Linked DNA regions of Daphnia pulex. Each later gene encodes a partner of the first gene's protein in a complex. Links are inferred from orthologs where the notes say so. Each region holds a gene or a part of one and is shown on either strand. Other genes may lie near its edges.

Region 1 (6,319 bases):
GTTGTGGTAACAAATGCTCGGGAAATTCCTTGCCATTAATCTTGGCGCAGGTCTTCATTATAGCTTTCACTTCGGCAAAACGACCTTGTGACATTAACCATCGAGGAGATTCTGGCAGATATCTAAAAAATTACATCATTATCAAATATGACGCAGCGATTTTCATTGTGCAATTTTTGTGAATTTACACGAGATAGATGAAAAAGACGAGAAACGGAAGGGTAGTTGCGTAGCAGAGATGGGTCCAGTCTCGGACAACATAAGCTACTCCAGACAGGAGTAACATACCCATCGTGTAGAATAGACAGGTCATGACGGTGATAAAGGTCCGATAGGTAGGGCCGACTAGTTCCAAGGCTATAAAGACGTCATTGAAACAACAATTGGATTAAGATTACGAATCCTTAGAGTGTCCTAGATACGCAAACCAGCCATACTGCTACTGTATTCGTATACCTATGATGAATGGAATTTGATAGATGGCCGGAATTGTAATTCCAACCATAAACCGGCAAGCGGCCCAAAGCCAAAAATTAGGAGCAAGTGCTGTGAGTATTCCACCGGCGAGTTCGACACTCAGACAAAGAAAGAACGACGTCTTTCTTCCAACCCTTGAGAAATTAAAAAAGTTTCGAATGAGGTTAAACTTGATTTACGTAATCTATTCCAATTACCTGTCGCTAATAACACCAAAAATGTAAACGCCAATGATGCCTCCGACGTTTAACAGTGAAAGTCCAATCGTCGGGTAAAGATTACGAGTGCAAACTAGTTCAAACTGAAAAAGCAAATTTAATTATTTTAAAGAAAATGTAGGGGGGAAATAAAAATCATTACGTCAATGACAATCGACGAAGAAATGATGGACTTGTCAAATTCCCATCCGTACAGGCACTCGGTAACGTTATTGCCGTCGGCCGATTCCGTAAAATTGTACATGGTGCATTTGCTGAACTCCATTACTCCATCATTTACCTGTCAATCCCAAAATTGATTAAACACTTCGTAAATTCACTCAATTAACGTAATTACCGTGTAAGGAATGTTGGTCATCTTCCATTCGCTGGAATTCCAGTTTTGGGAATCCACATCCGGCGGACTTTTGCACCAGTGGTCGGGAACGTTGGCCATAAAGAGCTGATTAAAAGCGTGAAATCCGCAAGGAATGCATGCCGGAAGGCAAACCAGCCACACAAGCAACTTCTGGTACCGTCCAAATTCGCCTACAAAGGGCAGTAGGTCATCGAAATCCCAACTTTTCTTCTCGTCCATTTTCGGACACGTCAGTGGCTCAAATTCCGGCGCGTGTAAACTATTCAATCCGCTGGATGTGATTTTTTTTTTTTTCAGAAGAGACTCACCTCTTTGTGGATTTCACACGATCGGATTCTGTACGGCAGCAATTGGGAGAAATAGTTCAGACACCAAAGTTCACTAATAACCAGACCCGCAAATCAACGTCAGTCGCCGATGGACCCATGCTGATTACAGAGGCAATCCAGGGCGTGGGTAGGCTCCGACTTCCCCTTATATCCGGTCAGCAGCAGCAGCAGCAGTGGAATCCCTAAAAGTACATTAGTCTCGTGCGTCAAAATTTTTAACAGGCTAAAGGACCACCACCTTCGATGACTCTCTCCAAGGAATCCCTACAACGTCGCCGATCATTTCAAATCTCGTTGTTGTTTTTTGTTAATTTCTTTTATTTAAAAAAAAAGGAGGAAAATACGTGATGACATGACAAGTTGTAGAGGTGTGAATTGTCGTTACATAAGAAGTGAGGGTGCTGGCTTTTTACCCGGCCAAGCTTCTTTGGCGTATTTCTTTCTCTTGGGCCCGTTGGAGGAAGGATCAGACTCTACCGCAGGAGGTTGTGTAAACTCGACATTGAGCCGGGAAGTGACCGGTGCGGCAGCTGGCTCCATTGGGGCGGACAAATCGACATCAGGGGCAGGGTTAGGCATCAATGGAAGCCCCAACTTTGAAGCTAAAGTCGAAGAGAAGAGCCCAGAAGACGCGGATTGAGATGTTAAATGAGACTGGGATGATTCACCCATCTCAGGGGGTAGGCCTCCGTACAGCCCTTCTCCTCCAGACGAGGCTGACAAAGAACGGTGGAACTGGTTCTCTCTTGACATCGTTCCACTGGCTAAAGTTTCGCTTTTAATCCGCTATAATGTCACGAAAGAAAACTTACAATTAATATCACCACTTAACAGAATTTAGAAGACTATTTAATATTTACTTTAGTAGGAATAACGAGGGAAGTGTGAACAAGATTGCGGAATCTTCCCACATTCGGATCAATATCTTCCGGATTGATAACTTCTTCTTCGTCATTGAAAGTGATCGACCTCTTCTTTCTCTTGCCTGCGGCAATTCTGCTGCCTGCGTCATCGTCGGCAATACCCAACATTGAGATCCGTCGATTATGAGCTGTGTTGAATTCAGTCAGATTCTAGATAAAGCAAACATTTGTGAAATTTTCATAAAAAGTTGAATATAAAAAGGCTCTCACATCCAACTCCATTTCTGATTCTGGAAGCCCAAGTTTCCCTCCATCCTGGTGAACACTTTTGGCTTCTTCTTCTAGTTCTTCCAAGATCGGTCTGGGGGCATTTTGTGGTCGCTCTCTCAAAATGTAATATCTAGTTGAAGCACCAAAATGAAAAGTGCTGTCGACTGGCAGTTGGGTAGGCTTTTCACTTTCAATCCTCATAGTACCAATATAGGTTCCATGGGCTGGATATTTGAAAACAATATTTAGATCAATGAACAATTAATTTTTGACAAAGTTATAAACTTACTGCTTCCCAGATCAACAAGAAATGCACGGTTCAGATGCTTGTGCCACACAAGTGCAGAGTGAACCTTTGAATCATGAAGACAGACGACAAATTAACGAAAGATGCAAAGTGATAATTTTGAAGGATACAACATACCCTGGAGCAGGATGCATGGTCAATACAAAAATCACACATTTGAGGATTCCGGCCAAAGAGGTAGCATTTCTTCTGATCTATCATCAATTTCTGTAAGAAACACGAAGAACAAAAACAAATACAAGCCGGTAAAAAAAACCATCAACAAAGCCGGCAATTAACAAACGCATGTTACCTGGATAAGTTTACCATCTTTGGTCACATCAAGGTGAAGTCCAGTCGTCGGTTTACCAGCCCTGCAGAAAAAGAAATCGGGGTTATTTCAGTACGTTACACATTTCCTATTAAAGCGTTTAAATACCAATTTGGAATCTCATAGTGATTCGCCATTTTTTTGTTTTTTTTCTGACAGCTTTTTTTCTGGCAGCACGCTGCAACATTGCGCGATTTATTAAATAATAACCTACATACGTGTAAAAGAGGCGGCAAAGTCGTAAAGCATTCAAACACACTCGGGTAATATGGTGCTACATTGTTACTAACGAATGGGACATAATGAAACCTTCAGCATTGGCGTCGTATAGACTGAATATAATACTGCGCTGGGTTTAAAACTTTTCTTTGGTCAACGATGATTGTGGAAAGCGCTTAAAAACATTCAAAGAGGTCGGGAGTTTCTCTTTTCCCTATCAAAAAATAGAATTCGTCACCTTACTTGAGTCAATTTCAACATGTGATGTTAATGCATTATAAATACACACTGGAAAAGAACAGGTGAACCACCTTTCCTTTTCTGCGCCGAAATAAATTATACCGTCAAATAAAACTGAGCCAGCAGCAGTACACGAATGATGCCCTATATATTTAGACATCTGTCAAGGAGGAGGAGCAGAGTCTAATTAAACCATTTGGCTGCTCGTTTTATTTAACGACTTGGCGAACTGCGTAATTGGTTTAAATCCAGAACATTTATATTTTTACTCTTACTATAATTTACAATGAACAATAACCTACATTTATAAAAAGAAAAAAAACGAAAAAAAAATTAATTGTACAGTGGAAATGTCCAGATTCTAAAAAGCTCAAAACACCAGATTTAGAATAACTAAATTAACAGTACAAAAGTTTACGAATCTGTGGAAATCTTTGCTTGACACCAAAAAATAGTTCAGCACCTCATTCCCGACTTGGATTTCCATATGCATCACATGTGCGTGGTGTTTTGTGTATACTGTACAACCCTAAAGTCTGAGAACTCACCCAAGTGGAAATTCTCAGCGTTCAGGTGATGTTACTCATGTCAGTATGAACAGTGAGCAGCACTCACAGGTTCAGCTAATGTCACAAGTTGACTGTCAGACAATTTAATGTTCACCTGACATTTCAGTTTTTAGGCTTTTTCTAGGTCACGTTAAAACTTTGATTCCGGACGTAATCTCTTCTTCGTTTAATTGACAAAATTTTTCTTTAGTGTCCATCATTAAACCTCCCACCAGATATGATTTATGTACCGCCCATGTAAATTTGACTAAGGAGTTTGAATGGATTATAAATAGAACCATAAAGATTAGAAAATATTAGTCCAAATGGCTTTTCTCACACATTTCGTAACAAAAACTAAATTCAAGAGAAAGAATTTTTTTTTTGACTGGGAAATCACGTCGTTTGAAATCGTCCAAGAGCTAATAAAGTTGCATAAGTACTGTCCTCGTGTAGACGGACTGTGTTTGGTGGGGTGCTTATTTTTAAATAATTATTGTCCATTCGTCTTGTCAGTCGGTGATTGGGGAAAGTCCGCTGGAATGTCTCTCAGCAATACGAAGAAAAGTTCTGGTATGTAACAGAAGAGTTTCTCTTTCGCCCTGTCCAACTAACAAAAAAAATGTAACACATTGAAGAGGAAGTCACGGACGATTTCCGGGCTGATGCCTGCGACACGATGGCGGGGCCCAGCGCAATAATATCCCGGCACCCATTTCCCTGTGTATATTCGTCTGCTCGTTGAATATATAACAAATAACGTCGCACAAAAGTTTTATCAAGAATTCTGCGTTCATTTTCCTTTTTTTTTATTTTTTGGTGTAGGCTACCAACGGTCTAATAGGCACCTGCTTGTTGGTGGGTTGCCAATGACAGTAGTTGTGCGTACAGTACAACCGCACGGCGAAATAACCGCAAAGAGCGTGATTTGTTCACATTCAAAAAAGGATGGGGGGGGGGGATATAGAAGCTCAAAAAACCGCCTAGGCACACGTGAATATTAGGAGCAATTGGCGAGAGTTGCCAATTTGCTCCCTTTCTCCTTTTCTTTTCAAAAGAAAAAATAAATTCCCCCCAGTTTTGTTGTTGCGCAACATTTTAAAAAAATATAAAAATCTTTCCAGCTGGTGCTGGTAAAAGTATATCGGCGGAATGTCTATAACATGTAATGAGCACATAATGACTGGTATGAAAGATTTTTCAATCTGTAGCTATACACGCGCTTGTGAGTTGTGTGGTCGATATGAATGAGATCAAGAGCCGGAAAGTGTTACAAAACGTGCCGTCACGCATGGCTCGACCATGTACATTCTTTGTGTTTCATCTCGGACGATTTTCATCAGCAGCAGATGCACAACATCCAAATCTCCTAGACGGTGTTGTTGTCGGTTCAAACATTTATCTCCAAAACCATCTTTTCTTTCGGGTCTGTGTTAAACACATGACGCAATTTAATCTAACACGACAGTCACGGTATACAAAAAAGACACTTTTTCCCGAAGAGGCTTGACCCGATATCTGTGCTGCTTTCTCCGCCGCTAAGACGAAAGTGCCAACAACCCGTAATGTTTGCTTTATTTAATTAATAAAGAAAATGTGTTATTCTGTCTCTGTGGCCGAGAGAGAGAGAGAGTATTAGTGTACCAAGGACATTTTGTGCCGTGTCACGATTTTTACACGACTTGAAAAACATTTTTCTGAAGGGGAATCCTTTTTTTAAAAGCTTGTATAAGGATCTTGTGTGTTATATTCCTCATCTTCTTTTCGTAGAAGAAAAATAAATTTCCGTCTGTGGAAAGTCACAGGTAGAAAAATGAGTCCCACAGGTACACTGGGTACATATACAACACCCATTATTAAATAACTTTCTAACGTGACCGGAAAAATCTATATAGATTCTCTCTAGCTGGTTATATGCACTCGTTTTTATTGACTTTTGGTGCGGAAATTTTCACAATTGTTTGAACAGCAGATAATTCGATAGTCTTTCTGCAATTGCTGCGAGAGATTATCCGACTACCTGGAACACAGCAGCCGAAAATCTGGTTCGAATGGAAAGTGTACACATAAAATATACCTAGGGATTGAATTTTGTGTGGATAGAAAGCCTCCCATTTTTTTTCTCAACACAGAATTAACCTTGCGCCTTTTGTATACATATAACCAACTTTATAGTACAT
Region 2 (6,284 bases), on another chromosome or scaffold:
AAGTATTTTCATGATTTCAGGTTAGCTTAGGTAAACCTATATCTGAAAATGAGAATGGACCTGAAGTTATTTTCGTTCAAGATGTATCTGGAATGTTTTGCTTAGATACCACACCAGAAGTGGGAACAAAGAAACCATTAGGACCAAGATTTACGAGGGTAAGTAATACTGTGGATAAATATTCTGATTAAACTATAATTATTTCTTGGTTTTTCATTAGGAATTTAGTTCAACTCTCAAATCTGGAGAAGATACTACAGACTCTACAGGAGATAGTGTAAAACAAGACAACAGATGCTTTAACTGTTTGGGTGACCACTCTCTTATGAACTGCCCAAACCCAAAGAATCAGAAAGAAATATCAAAAAATCGTTCTTCATTCATGCAGAAGCAGCCAGCACGAATGTAATGCTAACCTCTAAAAAGTCAAGTGATAAATAACAGTCACACCATAAATGAGTGCATTGTACCATTTTACTATCTTACTATTTTTCTTTCTATTGTTTAGGAATCGTTATCATATTGACAAGCCTAGCAAATTTGATCATTTTACTCCTGGTGTCATCAGTAGAGAGTTACGGGAAGCTTTGGGTCTAAGAAGTTCTGAAATCCCGTTGCATATCTATCAAATGCGGATTTTAGGATACCCTCCTGGCTGGATAGAGCATATTAAAGAATATTCTTCTGGGTTAGAAATGATTGATGCTGCCACTTCTCCCTCTTCAACTGAAGCAAACCAAACAGTTACTTATGACTATGAAAAAATCATCGATTACCCTGGCTTCAACGTTCCTGTTGATCGACGAGTCCGTGACGTAAGTGGAACCCATTTTGCTTTTATAATACAGTGTAAATTTTTTTAACGCTAATCAACCGCAGGATTGGCGCTATTTAAACTTTCCTCCAATGCAAGAGCACAATTCCAAAGAAGCTCTCATCGCCAATTTAAAGATGCACAGTAAAACTCAAAAGAATTCTAGTGAAGAAACGAATTTGGTTTGTTGCTAGATAAAATCGTTGAAATGTTGTCAAATAAGTTAAAATTCCTTATTTTAGGAAATCGTTGACATGGATACATCCATAGAAGACCTTGAAGAAAAGCGCCAGGCATTGCTTGCTGAGTTGGGAGATGAAGACGATGACTGTGTTATTGAAGAAAATTTTGAAGGGAGTGAAACCACTAACCCAACCAACACAACAACTGGCATCGTTACTGGGGACACATTGAAAGAGAGTGGATCTCCCAACCTAACCAACGAGGTTCAGGAAATGGATATTGCTGCAGTGACGATTCCTACCTCGTCAATATCAGATCTACCTCTAAATATTGAGTCACCAATCAACAATCAAGACTTGTCACCGAAAAAGAGCAAGCTCTTGGCAATGGGAACTCCTGTCTCTATACGATATTCACCTTATAATATCCTACCTTCACGAGACAAGTTTGCGCAAAATGGGAAACTTGGGACCATGGGTGAACTTGAACTATACGAAAATCTTCCAAATAGTACGGGCGCTTTTCAAAAGATGCGATCTTTACTTCAAAAGGCGAAGCAAATGTTTAATAGGAAATAAATGGCACTGAAAAATCGTTTATTTGAAAAATGTATGTATTTTTTTGAAAAATTAAGACTTTCATCATCTTCGGAACTGTCGCCGGAACTTTTCGAAATAAAAGTCGTCGCTTGCCTTATCATGCTCTTTTTTCCCACCGACATTGTCTAACCTTTTAGGTAACTCTACAGGGACGGCTGGTTTGACAGAAGCTTCAGCACGTTTCTTACGTGGGGGGCCAGATTCTTCAATATTAACTAAAAATATGTAAAAATATGATTAGAAATTTTTAATTAAGTATAGATCAATAATAGAAAGGTACATCTGTTATGCTGGACAAAATTAACGGCCATGTTAGTCGGAACAAACATTGAAGGACCATCTTTTTTACGAAGTCTTTCTTGAAGCAGCTTCTGTTTTGCTTCTTCAGTTGCTTCAATATTCTTAATTTTGGCCCTTTAATAAAATAATTATGAAAGTCATTGTAAAAATTTTTAATATAAAAATGTTTTAGACTGGCATACTCTATTCCTAGATCTACTTCCGGAATTCCGCTAAGCATCTGGTTGGATAACATTTCTTCAGATTGGACACTAGATTTCACTCTCAGATATTCAGGTACTGACGAAAAAGCAATTTCTTCAGGAGTCAGGTATTTATTACTTTTATCTTCATCCTCTTGCATTAGACCTTTCCTTTTTGCAAGTTGCTCCTCAATATACTTCATCCTAAAAAGAATAAACATTTTATAACTGAATTGCAAGAGTTGTAAATGAATAATATTTACACACATTTCTGCATCTTCATCTCGAGTGTTGGTTTCCACGGAAAACTGTGTACCAATTCCAGTTTCATATGCATCATCAGCAGATGAACTATTTTGCTTTCCAGCTTTAACTGCCTTCATATCAGCCATTCCACCAGTTGTAACTTTGAAGGGATCATTCTTTACTTAAACAAGTAAACTAGTTAATGCATGATCTTGTATAAATTTCTATATACACTGCCTTACCACTGTAACTTCCTCTTCAACAGTTATTCGCTTGCCAATTGCCAATGCCACAGCACTAATACCGTGGGGTCTCTCTCTTAACTTTTGTAACTCTTTTGTCTCTTCCAGCTTTAACCTAGAAAATTAGGAAATTAAATATGACAATACATTTTAAATTATATTATTTATAAGAATGTGCATACAACACGTCGAGCTCATCACTGCCACCAGCATCATCGTCCTCTTCAATTTCGAGACGTTTTCTCATAGGTTTTCTACTTGGTTTCTTGAATTTAAATGTTAGAGAAGCTTCTCCCGAATTATCACCAATTTCTTCCATATTTTTTTACGATTTGTTTAATTGTTCTGTAACTTAAAAAGGCGTCCCGTTCTTTTAGACAAAAACAAAACAGAAGCAGTACAGTGACATACAACCTTGACAGATTGCCGATATATGGGAAATTCGGAATCGTATTTGAGTAATTCTTCAACTTGACCAGAGTGATAGGTATAAAAATATTTTTATTCTTAAATATTTAAATAGAATTATTCTCAAATTAATGAGTCATTAAATGAAGGAATAAACTGACAAAAACTGGCAACAGTTAGAGCTTACTCCATCTCACGGTGTCATGCAAATGGCGACCATTGTTGTGCATTTCAATTTAGAATATTTACCTAAACATGCTGAGTTTGTTGGAGTGGGATTGGAATAAGAGTCTTCATTAAACTTACTGTCTTTTCGTTTTATTTATTAGAAAATAGCATTATAGAGTTTCCTCAATGTTTTTGTTAGTCAAGCACAGATTTCAGCTTTTGCTTCTTTCTAAGTGTTAAAAAATCATTCCTTCCTGAAGCCTGAAATGAATCTTTTGATAGCACAAATTGAGTAACCAATATAAGTATAATATTATATTATCACCTTATTTATACATTTTTCGACAGAATTTTGCGGAATTTTTCGTAATATTTGTTCTTTTCATTTTGCTTTTTTCCTATTGCTATGTTTAAGGGGGCACTGGAAGGATAACGTTGCTTGAACCTAATCACCTCCTACTCTTTTTGAATTTCTAGAAGAACTCTTCCGCTTGATCCTAAACCAAAGACGTGTACTTCACTGTGATCAGACTCTCTTGCCTTGACTGCAAGATACTCGGTGAATCTCCGCCTGCCGTAAGCATCCTGGCTTCCTGGAAACCTTTTCATCTTCTAAGATGAAGAATTTTCACGATTGCACTATTGTGGAATCCTCGAGTCGTCAAACATTGCATGAAGCTCAGAGTTGTGTATGTCTCTCTTGCTGCAATGTTTCTTGCATATGGATTGGAATACCACTCCTGTAGATGGGATGTCTATAGTTTCATGAGCAGGAGGTGTTGGTGTGCCAACCCATCAGGAAGATCAGAATTATCTTCTTCTCCCTTAAGGAAATGTAAGTTTTTTCGGTTTTGTAATTTGTGCGTTTTGTTGATGTAATTAATTATATAAGAACGTAAATGCGTGGTTATTTAAAGTTTTAGTTGGGATTTAGAGTTATTTTCCGCTGTCTAACTATCCATAAAAAGGTCTATAAGAGCCTGAAAATGAAGACAACGTTAAGGACATTGTAAAATTAAGGTCCTCTTTACATCAGGCGGCTGACCCAGCTGAAAATCGTTTCCGAGACGTTAAACAACTTCAATGAACGCAGTAGATTACGACAAATTATAGACAAATGATTTAAATGTCCTGTAAATAATAATTGTGCCTTGTGTAAAGGTACACAAATTTCTGTCTGCTAATATTAATTATTTGATAGATATTAATTTTAATATACCTCCATGTTACTAATAGCTGGAAGTTTGTCTTTTTTCGAGAACATCGATTTGATCCATTATTGCGTGGTGAGATACTTTCTTTTATGTCACTTAAGTGAGCTCTACAGTTTGGATTATTAGATTTCCTCAGATAATGCTAAGCTTTTTATAATGAAATCAAAGAAATTTACAGAAGTTGTTAAACCGTTTTTCCAACTGAATCTTAATTTTCCCTGTTGGTTTCTCTGACAATGATTTATGCATAACAATGCATTACATTTCCTTTCGTTCACAGGATATGTCAGCCAGGTCAAATTGAAGCTTTTTTTCTAATGCAGAACATTTTGACTTCGTCACCTTGCTGCTTGTTAATTGGGAATGTTGTTAAATTAGGAACAACTGCTGTTTTTCTTCCACATGTACTTGTTTTTGCTTAAGGTGTTTTAAACGTGTGCGCCAGGTGGCCATGAAGTACAGAGGTACGTGGGCGGAGACATTCATGATAGTGTCCGCTTGTTTAGTTGTTTCGGGAATATTGTCGGGCTTCATTGCTAGATACTACCGGATGCTACTCAATTCGCCAGTTTATACTTTGCTATTTCCCATTATGAAAATGAAAAAGGTATTCTGGTTTGCATTCCTCAAGTTTTTAGTGTGTAACATATTTGTGTGTGAATTTACAGGTAAACTAGCCTATAATTCTCTTAGCCAAAATATCCGATGACGTGGCATGACTTTGATCCCGAAATGTTAGCTTTTGCTGCCTGTATAGGCTGTACGAATTTTGTTTGTTTGATCAGAGTAAGTTATATTTAACAATTATTCGTCTAGAAGGCGAATAGATAACTTAGTTTCAGTTTTGTAGACTGCCAGTGAAGTAAAAGCAAGTGTGGAGTTTGTGGACCTGTGGTTTTATATGATAATACACTCAAATCATCATCGTCGTAAGTTATTAAATTACCCATTAGATATGTTCATAAATAATTACGATCCCGGGGATTTTTTTTTATACAGGCCATTTTGATTTTTTACTGTGATCCACTTTAAACGCTTGCGTACGGCGATCATACGTATCCCGTAGGTAATCATTACAGATTTATAATTTCCATTTGTTGTTGAGTTAATGTTTTTTTTTTTTCTTTTTGCAATTTATCTACCTTGAGCTAATGATAACTGAATTAATATGAAACTCACCAGACCTGCACCCAGACCGAACTGAATTCTTCATTTTTAAGTATTGACAACATTTAAACCACTGCGCTGGATAGCTCAACTCGGTAATAACAGATTTCTCACGTTCAGTTCACCCGGTGGAAAGGATGGTATCCAACAAGTCAATTAATCTCAACTATCTGTAAAGCTTGTTTCATCAATCTCTGCTGTGTCTACGCAGACTGGCAATCCGACATGCAAAGCATTCTGCCTCCCAGTATGAAGGGCACAACAGACTTCCAACAGCAGATAAAAGTAGAGGTGTACTGCCCTAGTTTGTCCAGACAGGATGTCCTTCTCGCTTGAAGGTCACGAGAAACATTACGTAAAACTGGCATGCGGTAGTGTAGAGGTTGGGTGAGAATGACACGTGTTTCATCATTATCAAAGCAGGTACAATAGCCGCAAGGGTAAGGTATTTGGTATTCATTTTGATATTGGTTTTCTTTTTGTAGACCCATCCCCAGCAACGTCTACCTAAAGAAGGAAAGGCCAGTTTGCATTTCAATCGAAGGTCATGGAGATCATTAAGTAAAACGTGTCATGCAGTGGCGTAGAGGTTGGGTGAGAACGGGACGTTTTGTATCATTATCAAGAAGGTAAAATAACCGCAAGGCTTAATAGGAGGGGTGAGAAAAAGTCGTATAAAAGGCGAGAGAAAAGTCGATAGGGATCAGTCGAGCGAGTATCTCCGACACGGTAAGAGCTGCTGTGCATTATTTGCTATCAGG
Region 3 (7,047 bases), about 11 Mb from region 1:
CCCCCATAACCGGAGGTTAGGTAGAGGGTGACCTTGCTTCGCAGATTCAGTTTTGTTGCCGGCATTCACACGTGGTAGTCGATTTATTGTCGTGTTCGAGACGAGCCAAAATGCAACGTGAAAATGAAAAGTCGTTAAGCTCACCAGGTGCTTTTGTGTCTCCGAATTCAACCTCGAAAATACTTTCTCAAACCCTCGTTAGTAGACCTAAAGGTATTGCAAAACAAAGGCGAAACGAAAAACAGCAGGTTTTGTACCACTTGGAGCAAGTCATCGACGTTCAGGTAAGTTCAACTAAATTGAAACTTGTGTATCCTCTATTGAATGTGAGATATTTTTGATTAGGAAATGCTCCATGCTTTGAGCACACAGAGTATTGGTAGTGCCATTCGTCAAGACTTTCTTCGCGGATTACAAGGGGCTCCACAACTAAGCCAGGAAGATATCGAAATTTTGAAGACATTTCATCGACTTACCACTTCAACTAAAAGTCCTAAAACTCTACTTGAATTTGTCATGAATGCACCGGTAAAGAAACTCGTTCTGTGACACTATTACTATCGTTTACTTTAACCACGTTGTTTTATCTTTAGATCGAAGAAAACTTAAAAGCATCCGAGCATTTCAAATTTCTGATGGAGGGAGAAAGAAAATCAGTTCCAGGGACTAACATTACGTACTACGATGGAAAGGCAATCATCTCTCGGATCCTTCGCAGTGGTTATTTCAGTCAACGTCGTTTGAACAATGCCAAAGTGAAACACGAAAACGTACCGATTTCACCGTCTCAACCAACCCCGACAAGTCAAACGACACCCAAACGAATCGATTACCAAGATGTCGATGTCGACAGTCTTTTGGTCAATTTAAAAAAACAAATGGAAGAAACAAACAGAATCGTCTAGCCAGAAGATTTTCACAGTCGTAAAACGTAAGTCTAAACGAATGTCTAGAATTTTACAAATTCAATAATCGCTTTTCTTTCATTGCAGGCGAGAAAAATTCTCTACGAGGAACTTGTTACTTATTTCACTCACTGTCCTGATGTTACAAAGAAATTCCCATTCCCCGTTTGGTTCATTAACTCTTTCCATGTTTCTTGCCACTTGATTGTTGTGAAGCTACGTTTAATAAACTAAGTTAATTGGATAACACTTACCCACTACACTGGCGGGGCAAACAACGAGAGTACCAGATGACCTTTTGATCTTGACGGTCTTGGAGAGCCAAATGTTGGAGGACGCAGGTGGTGGAGGATCTAGTTCCTTTTGTTTCACGATCAATGCAATCATGGTCAGTGTCTTGCCTAAACCCATGTCGTCCGCCAATATTCCACCTAAAAGAAAAATAAGAATAAATTAAGTTTAGGGAATAACTGAATGAACAAGTAATCACGTCGCTTACCAGCAGGAATTTGAGTCTCGCGCCATAAAAGCCATTTGAGTGCGCGCTCCTGGTGCGCCAAGAGAGGAACTGTGAGGCAGGCGGGCGTACTCTCCACATCGGTTTCTTTTGGGCAACTGGCGAGAGAACGATGAAGGTTTTCAAGCGAATCCATAGTGATGGAAACAGCCTCACGACGGGCAGCAGCAGAGATGTAACCTATTTAAAAGGAGGAGAATTTGAGTTGCTGTAAAAAAAAAAACATGACTATTATTACTAACCGGTTTCCGTTTTCTGGTAGAGTTCCTTTCCCGCATTATCGGCAAACATCTTCTTCTGCATTTCGGTTAGTCTGGGAGCTTCAGGAAGAAGTTGGGTTTTTTTCGGTTTTACAGCTAATTGGCGATTCTGCGTGTCATTTTGGAAATCCAAATGTTTTGAGCCGTAACTGCTGCTGCCGGCGTTGGTTGCATTGGCAATTGACAACTTAATAAGACGACCCTCCATGGCACCGATTTCAGTTCGCAGGCGCTCCTTGTCGTCGCTATTTGCGTTACCCATGGCCCACTAGAAAAAACAATAATAAAATTTATCTTATCTTCAGAAAATAATTGTTGGAAAATAACCTTTTTCATTTGTATTTGTTTTCGAAGTTCATCTTCTTGGACTTCACTTGACGCTACTGATGAAACTGGAACGGGGCGCATTGGGGGATTTACACCGAGTTTGTTGGCTGTTTCTAGCTGTTCAGTCAGCTTACGAATTTTGTCTCGGAGCCTTTCTCCTCCATCGGGCAATGATTTTAAATTTGACGATACCAAAAGAAGTTTTTGGCGCTCAAGATCTTCACGCATCCGCGTTATTTCTGCTGCCGAGAGTCGAACAGGAAGAGTTCGTGCAATTTCCGGTGATGATAACTCAGTTATGCTCTGATCTTGTTCTTTTCCTTCAACTTCAGGGCTCGAAAAAGATACAACAGTACTTGATACCTCAAGAATACTATTGGATAGATCTTGGATCGGTACTTCTTCTTCCTCTACAAGAGGCTCAGGAGGCGAAAATCTTTTATCGGCCGATTTCCTCGACATTTCCTGAAATAAAATAAAAAATATATTAAAGGTCTAATCATAGGCAGCTTTAATCACGGCCAACTTACATGATTAGCGTTAATGGGATCCATGTTTGAATCATTCCCCGAAACGTGTCTATCAAGACTGGTATTGCGAAGAGCACGCTGAATCGCTTGTGGTGTAGGGATACGAGAGGACGAAGGGAGCCGTGGGGCAATGGCTTCAACCTCATCTTCGGTAGATACGTCACTGTCGATGATTTGATCTCGGACATGAGGAGTTTTTATACGAGGAACCCTTACTTCTTCTTCAGTAGATACGTCACTGTCGATGAATTGCTTTCGGATACGAGGAGTCATCTCTTTCCTAATATTATCCTCAGACTCATCTTCAGTGGATGATAATGCAGCTTTCCTTCCAGTTTGTTCACGATAGACTCGCGGTGTTGCTTCAACACTAGAATCGGACTCTTCACTAGTGTCAGTGTCAATTGCTTTTCCTCTAACCGGTGGTCCACTAGAATCGGAATCACTATCAATTGGATTTCGGGTTGGCTTCTTCTTAACGGAGGAACCAAAAGAATCTTCTGCGGATTCGTCAGAGCTATCAGAAGCATTGGCCTTCTGAATTGCCAAGCCTTCAATGTCAGAAGTTTCAGCAGAATTTTCTCCAGAACTTTGAATCACCAATTTTGCTTGACGCCTTCCAGCTTGAATTACTTGGTAAGATTCATCCAGGTCTCCAATTTGACTAGTTGAATATTTTTCACTAGATCCAAGACGTTTTCCTCTCACACGATATGACACATCTTCTTCATCAGACTCATCATCAGACTCGTCTTCTGAACTCTCAATAAATCTATGAGCCTTTTGCTTCGATCCTTTTTTAGTTTCAAAAGGACTGACAACCAGGTTAGAGGATCGACTTTTATCTACCTCATCTTCAGGTTCCTCATCATCTGAAGATCCAGGCCTAGATGAATGCTGGGACTCCTCCTCTTCTTCTCCCTCAACGCTGTAAGAGTCTGAATCTTCTCCCTGTACTGACTCTTCTATCTTCTCTGTACGTGAAACAGCAGATGCTTTCACATTAGACTTTGAGTATTTATTAAAAGAATGGGCAGCTGGAGTTTCATACGCCTCGTTATCAGACACATCTTCAAATAAGGAAACAGAATGATGTTAGAAAGCCTTACTTTTCAAATTCTAAATGTTTTACCTTCTGGTGTAGATGGAACCAGGTCACTTTCATCATTCAATGGGAACTTGGACATTTTGTATGTCAATTCAGCTTAAATTCCTCTAGATTCTGGATTTGAAATTTAGGTGATCATGAACCAGTAGAGCATTAGCATAATGTACAAAAGGTTTACCATAAAATACGAAGGCAGCAGTAGAAAGATGACAAATTACCTAGCTTCCTCTCTGTCTGACCTGGACTATTCTCGTGCTTTATTAAATATTTCGTTCGATAAAAGAAAGAAGAAACAACGGACATGAGTACATCACCAACTCCTTGTCACACTTGTTCACGATTTCTTTCTAAAATTTTCGAATAGAAATACTGAGGCGTCGTTGCCAAATATAAAAAAAAGAGGAGCCAACGAAATTTTATGAATTATTTTTTTAGTTAGAAAAACATTGATTAGGCAAATTCCTATTTTGAACTTTATGAGCAATTTTTAATTCGAATAGGTTTTCCCATTCATATTTATATTGTTGTTTTAATATTAATTTCTTATTTCGATCGTGTACGTGCAACCGCAGTAGTTGGGGAGGAGTCTAGTACGCGTAGTGGGAAATTTGAAAACCTTGCACCATTGAGCATTGACACTGCAATACCACGGTCTAACCGTGGTAATACTATCTCTTTACATCAAATTATGAGGTGAAGTAAATAAAGGATAAAGAAAATGTTGCATTCTTTTATTCTATTCTTTTAAGAGTCAAGTTAAACTTTCCATAAAATCAATTTTTTTTAAAATCAGTTTGTGGCAATTTAACCAAGCTGATACACGCGAATATAATCAACCTGCATTGTGTTGTCTTCAGTGGCAGCATTCCATGTGGGTAGCCATTTGTCGCGGCTTTCCCAGAAAGTTTTCATTTGAGTAGGATCAGATGCGGTCCACGGCTTGTCATAAACGGCATTTTGACAGCCGTCAGGGAAGTAGTTACCTCCGACAGCGACATTAAGAAGAAAATGGAACTGCACAAACACGACGACAATGATGTAAATGAAATATTTAAAATAAATAATAAAAAAAAAATATATACTTTTTGATCGAAGGGAGCCATTACAGTTCCACCGCTCCAGAGGTTCTGTCCTTGAAATCCTCCCAATTCCCAGAATCCACCTGCAGGGGGATACATTTCACCAATCATTTGATCATCAATGAAGAATTGGAAACCAGTTGGAAGCCATTCGACACGGTAAAGGTGGAAATCGCTGGCAAAATCTGGATTCTGAGTGATCCTTTGTGAAAAATAAAAACGTTTAACATTATTCTAAGTAGTAACTATAATTAATTCATGCACATATGTAAATTTACTTTTCCCAGTGGGTAAGGTCAAAACGGTTCTGGTTGGGATCAGGACCCCAATGCAAAGTGCTTCCTGCCAACTGTCGCCCTATCGGATAGCCGTTGCACGAAAAATCGGCGTTTCCTCGGGACTCTACGATGTCAATCTCACCCGATCGTGGCCAACCACCATAAATTTCGTCAGTAGGCAACATCCAAATTGCTTTATAGGATATTTCAATACTATTAATTTCCCAATTGTTTTTATATTTAATAACAACTCATTTCTACCTGGCCAAATCCAGTCACCTTTTGGCATTTTAGCTCTGACTTCGATTGTTCCGTAAGTAAAACTGAACGAATCACTCGTCACCATTCGGGCAGACTGAGCTGGATTGATAATTTCATTGCCAGCCACCCTATGATTGATGAAATGAAAATGGAAAATCAAAATATTTTTGTTACTATATAGAAATATTACACGTAGCAGCCTCCATCGATGTTAATATTGCAACCCTCGGCGTTCAAATCAAGGACACCGTTGTACAGGAAATCCTCGCCAAAACGATCCGCTGTCAAAGTTGGCTTGATGTATAGGATCCCATTTCGAACATAGCTTTAAGGGAAGAATCATAGATTAGTTAAAAGCTTAAAATACATTTGTCTCTGCTCAATTAGTGTACCTGTTTTCTGGGAGGTTGTCGTAATACTGGAATTCGTTGTTACCACCTCTCCATGCAGTGATCAAGTGCTTCCACCTGCTGTAGTCGAGAAAGTCGAATTCTTCTTGCCAGATGAGCGGACCACGCGCTGGACTGTTGAAACTGGCTCCATGGCAAACGGCCAGGGCAGCAGCCAAAATGGCAAAAGTTGCAAGCTTCATTTTCCCTCTTTGCAAGTAGGCTAAAATTGAATTCCTGCTTCTCTTGAACACTTGAAGAAAGACTACTCTAATCTGAGCGCAGAGTAGTGCCTTAAATACGCATAGTGTTTGTTTTGTTTGCAACCCAGTAGGTACGCAGTCCAATAATGCAATGACGATTGTTTGATTAAACTATGGCCTGTCAAGGATCACGTACAATTTTGAGACCAACGCATTACAATGTATTAGAGTGTTGTTGCGGTTTACTGCTGGGATCGCTGTCGTTCAAATCTTTATCGTAAATGGCTCTTGCGGTTGCGGGATTAGAAGTGTGTACAAGGTTCATAATTTTGACATAACTACCTACGCAGATTGGTATAGGTTGTCTGTAACCCAACATCGCGGTTATCACTTATATATACAGCGATTTTCAAACAATAAAACTGTTACCCGTGTACCTGTCTACATGTTTGAATAATACAAGTTTTTCACGTCATGATTTAGGGCCAGAAAATGAGCGATAAGTAAAACCGAAATAGAAAATCTAATGTTTATTGTTCAAATAACACTTATCGCCAATTTTCTTCATGGATGATGGATAGCATAATTTTATAACCATTTAAAAGGCTCATTTTTTTATTAGATGAATCAATTTCTTAGAATATTCAACTTTATAAAAGATTCTTTTGTTTGAGCAATTGTTTTCATAAAGAGTAGACTCGAATGTAATCAACTTGCATAGAATTGTCTTCTGTTCCAGCGTTCCATGTTGGTAGCCATTTGTCACGACTTTCCCAGAATTTCGTCATTTGAGTAGGATCAGATGCGTTCCACGGTTTGTCGTAATCTTCATTTTGGCAACCGTCAGGAAAGAAATTTCCACCAACAGCGACATTGAGCAAGAAATGGAACTGCCATTCACAAAATAGCAATGAAATATTTTTATTATTTATATAAGATAATTATTAGCATTGTTTACGCGTTGATCGAAAGGGGCCAAATTAGTGCCGGAGATCCACAGATTCTCTCCTTCAAATCCTCCCAGTTCCCAGAATCCACCAGGAGGTGGGAACAATTCGCCAATCAGTTCTTTATCCATGTAGAAATGGAAGCCATTTGGGAGCCAATCAACTCGGTAAACGTGAAAGTCGGAAGAAAAATCAGGTTCCTCAATGAGCCTTAAATAAGAAATAACTATAAGTAAGTATACA

What was found.
Region 2: nuclear inhibitor of protein phosphatase 1-like (region 1) and telomere length and silencing protein 1 homolog share a complex: the UniProt entries of both Homo sapiens proteins name them as parts of the spliceosome. The link is inferred for Daphnia pulex from reciprocal best matches to the Homo sapiens genes PPP1R8 and C9orf78.
Region 3: nuclear inhibitor of protein phosphatase 1-like (region 1) and transcription termination factor 2-like share a complex: the UniProt entries of both Homo sapiens proteins name them as parts of the spliceosome. The link is inferred for Daphnia pulex from reciprocal best matches to the Homo sapiens genes PPP1R8 and TTF2.

Annotation. Positions count from the first base shown.
Region 1 is NC_060026.1:2,725,712-2,732,030, reverse strand, and holds nuclear inhibitor of protein phosphatase 1-like, read right to left. Parts: upstream 3,317-6,319; 5' UTR 3,270-3,316; coding exon 3,241-3,269; intron 3,176-3,240; coding exon 3,115-3,175; intron 3,030-3,114; coding exon 2,940-3,029; intron 2,869-2,939; coding exon 2,805-2,868; intron 2,740-2,804; coding exon 2,516-2,739; intron 2,456-2,515; coding exon 2,243-2,455; intron 2,169-2,242; coding exon 1,764-2,168; 3' UTR 1,759-1,763; downstream 1-1,758. Other genes in the region: carcinine transporter-like, read right to left, coding at 1-122, 189-357, 457-611, 675-778, 838-975, 1,033-1,272. UniProt on the Homo sapiens protein: Inhibitor subunit of the major nuclear protein phosphatase-1 (PP-1). It has RNA-binding activity but does not cleave RNA and may target PP-1 to RNA-associated substrates. May also be involved in pre-mRNA splicing.
Region 2 is NC_060023.1:10,023,282-10,029,565, forward strand, and holds telomere length and silencing protein 1 homolog, read right to left. Parts: upstream 2,982-6,284; 5' UTR 2,886-2,981; coding exon 2,749-2,885; intron 2,682-2,748; coding exon 2,567-2,681; intron 2,501-2,566; coding exon 2,346-2,500; intron 2,283-2,345; coding exon 2,079-2,282; intron 2,011-2,078; coding exon 1,877-2,010; intron 1,812-1,876; coding exon 1,639-1,811; 3' UTR 1,598-1,638; downstream 1-1,597. Other genes in the region: zinc finger CCHC domain-containing protein 8 homolog, read left to right, coding at 21-158, 221-405, 509-815, 880-996, 1,057-1,575. UniProt on the Homo sapiens protein: Plays a role in pre-mRNA splicing by promoting usage of the upstream 3'-splice site at alternative NAGNAG splice sites; these are sites featuring alternative acceptor motifs separated by only a few nucleotides. May also modulate exon inclusion events.
Region 3 is NC_060026.1:13,495,163-13,502,209, forward strand, and holds the start of transcription termination factor 2-like, read right to left. Parts: upstream 4,010-7,047; 5' UTR 3,826-4,009; intron 3,762-3,825; 5' UTR 3,727-3,761; coding exon 3,672-3,726; intron 3,610-3,671; coding exon 2,540-3,609; intron 2,475-2,539; coding exon 2,010-2,474; intron 1,951-2,009; coding exon 1,665-1,950; intron 1,603-1,664; coding exon 1,405-1,602; intron 1,337-1,404; coding exon 1,160-1,336; intron 1,150-1,159; exon of another isoform or gene 993-1,149; intron 932-992; exon of another isoform or gene 906-931; coding exon of another isoform or gene 594-905; intron 529-593; coding exon of another isoform or gene 346-528; intron 285-345; coding exon of another isoform or gene 111-284; exon of another isoform or gene 32-110; intron 1-31. Other genes in the region: uncharacterized protein LOC124203690, read left to right, coding at 111-284, 346-528, 594-905; beta-1,3-glucan-binding protein-like, read right to left, coding at 4,452-4,661, 4,730-4,928, 5,005-5,197, 5,266-5,393, 5,456-5,590, 5,658-5,857; beta-1,3-glucan-binding protein-like, read right to left, coding at 6,541-6,747, 6,816-7,014. UniProt on the Homo sapiens protein: DsDNA-dependent ATPase which acts as a transcription termination factor by coupling ATP hydrolysis with removal of RNA polymerase II from the DNA template. May contribute to mitotic transcription repression. May also be involved in pre-mRNA splicing.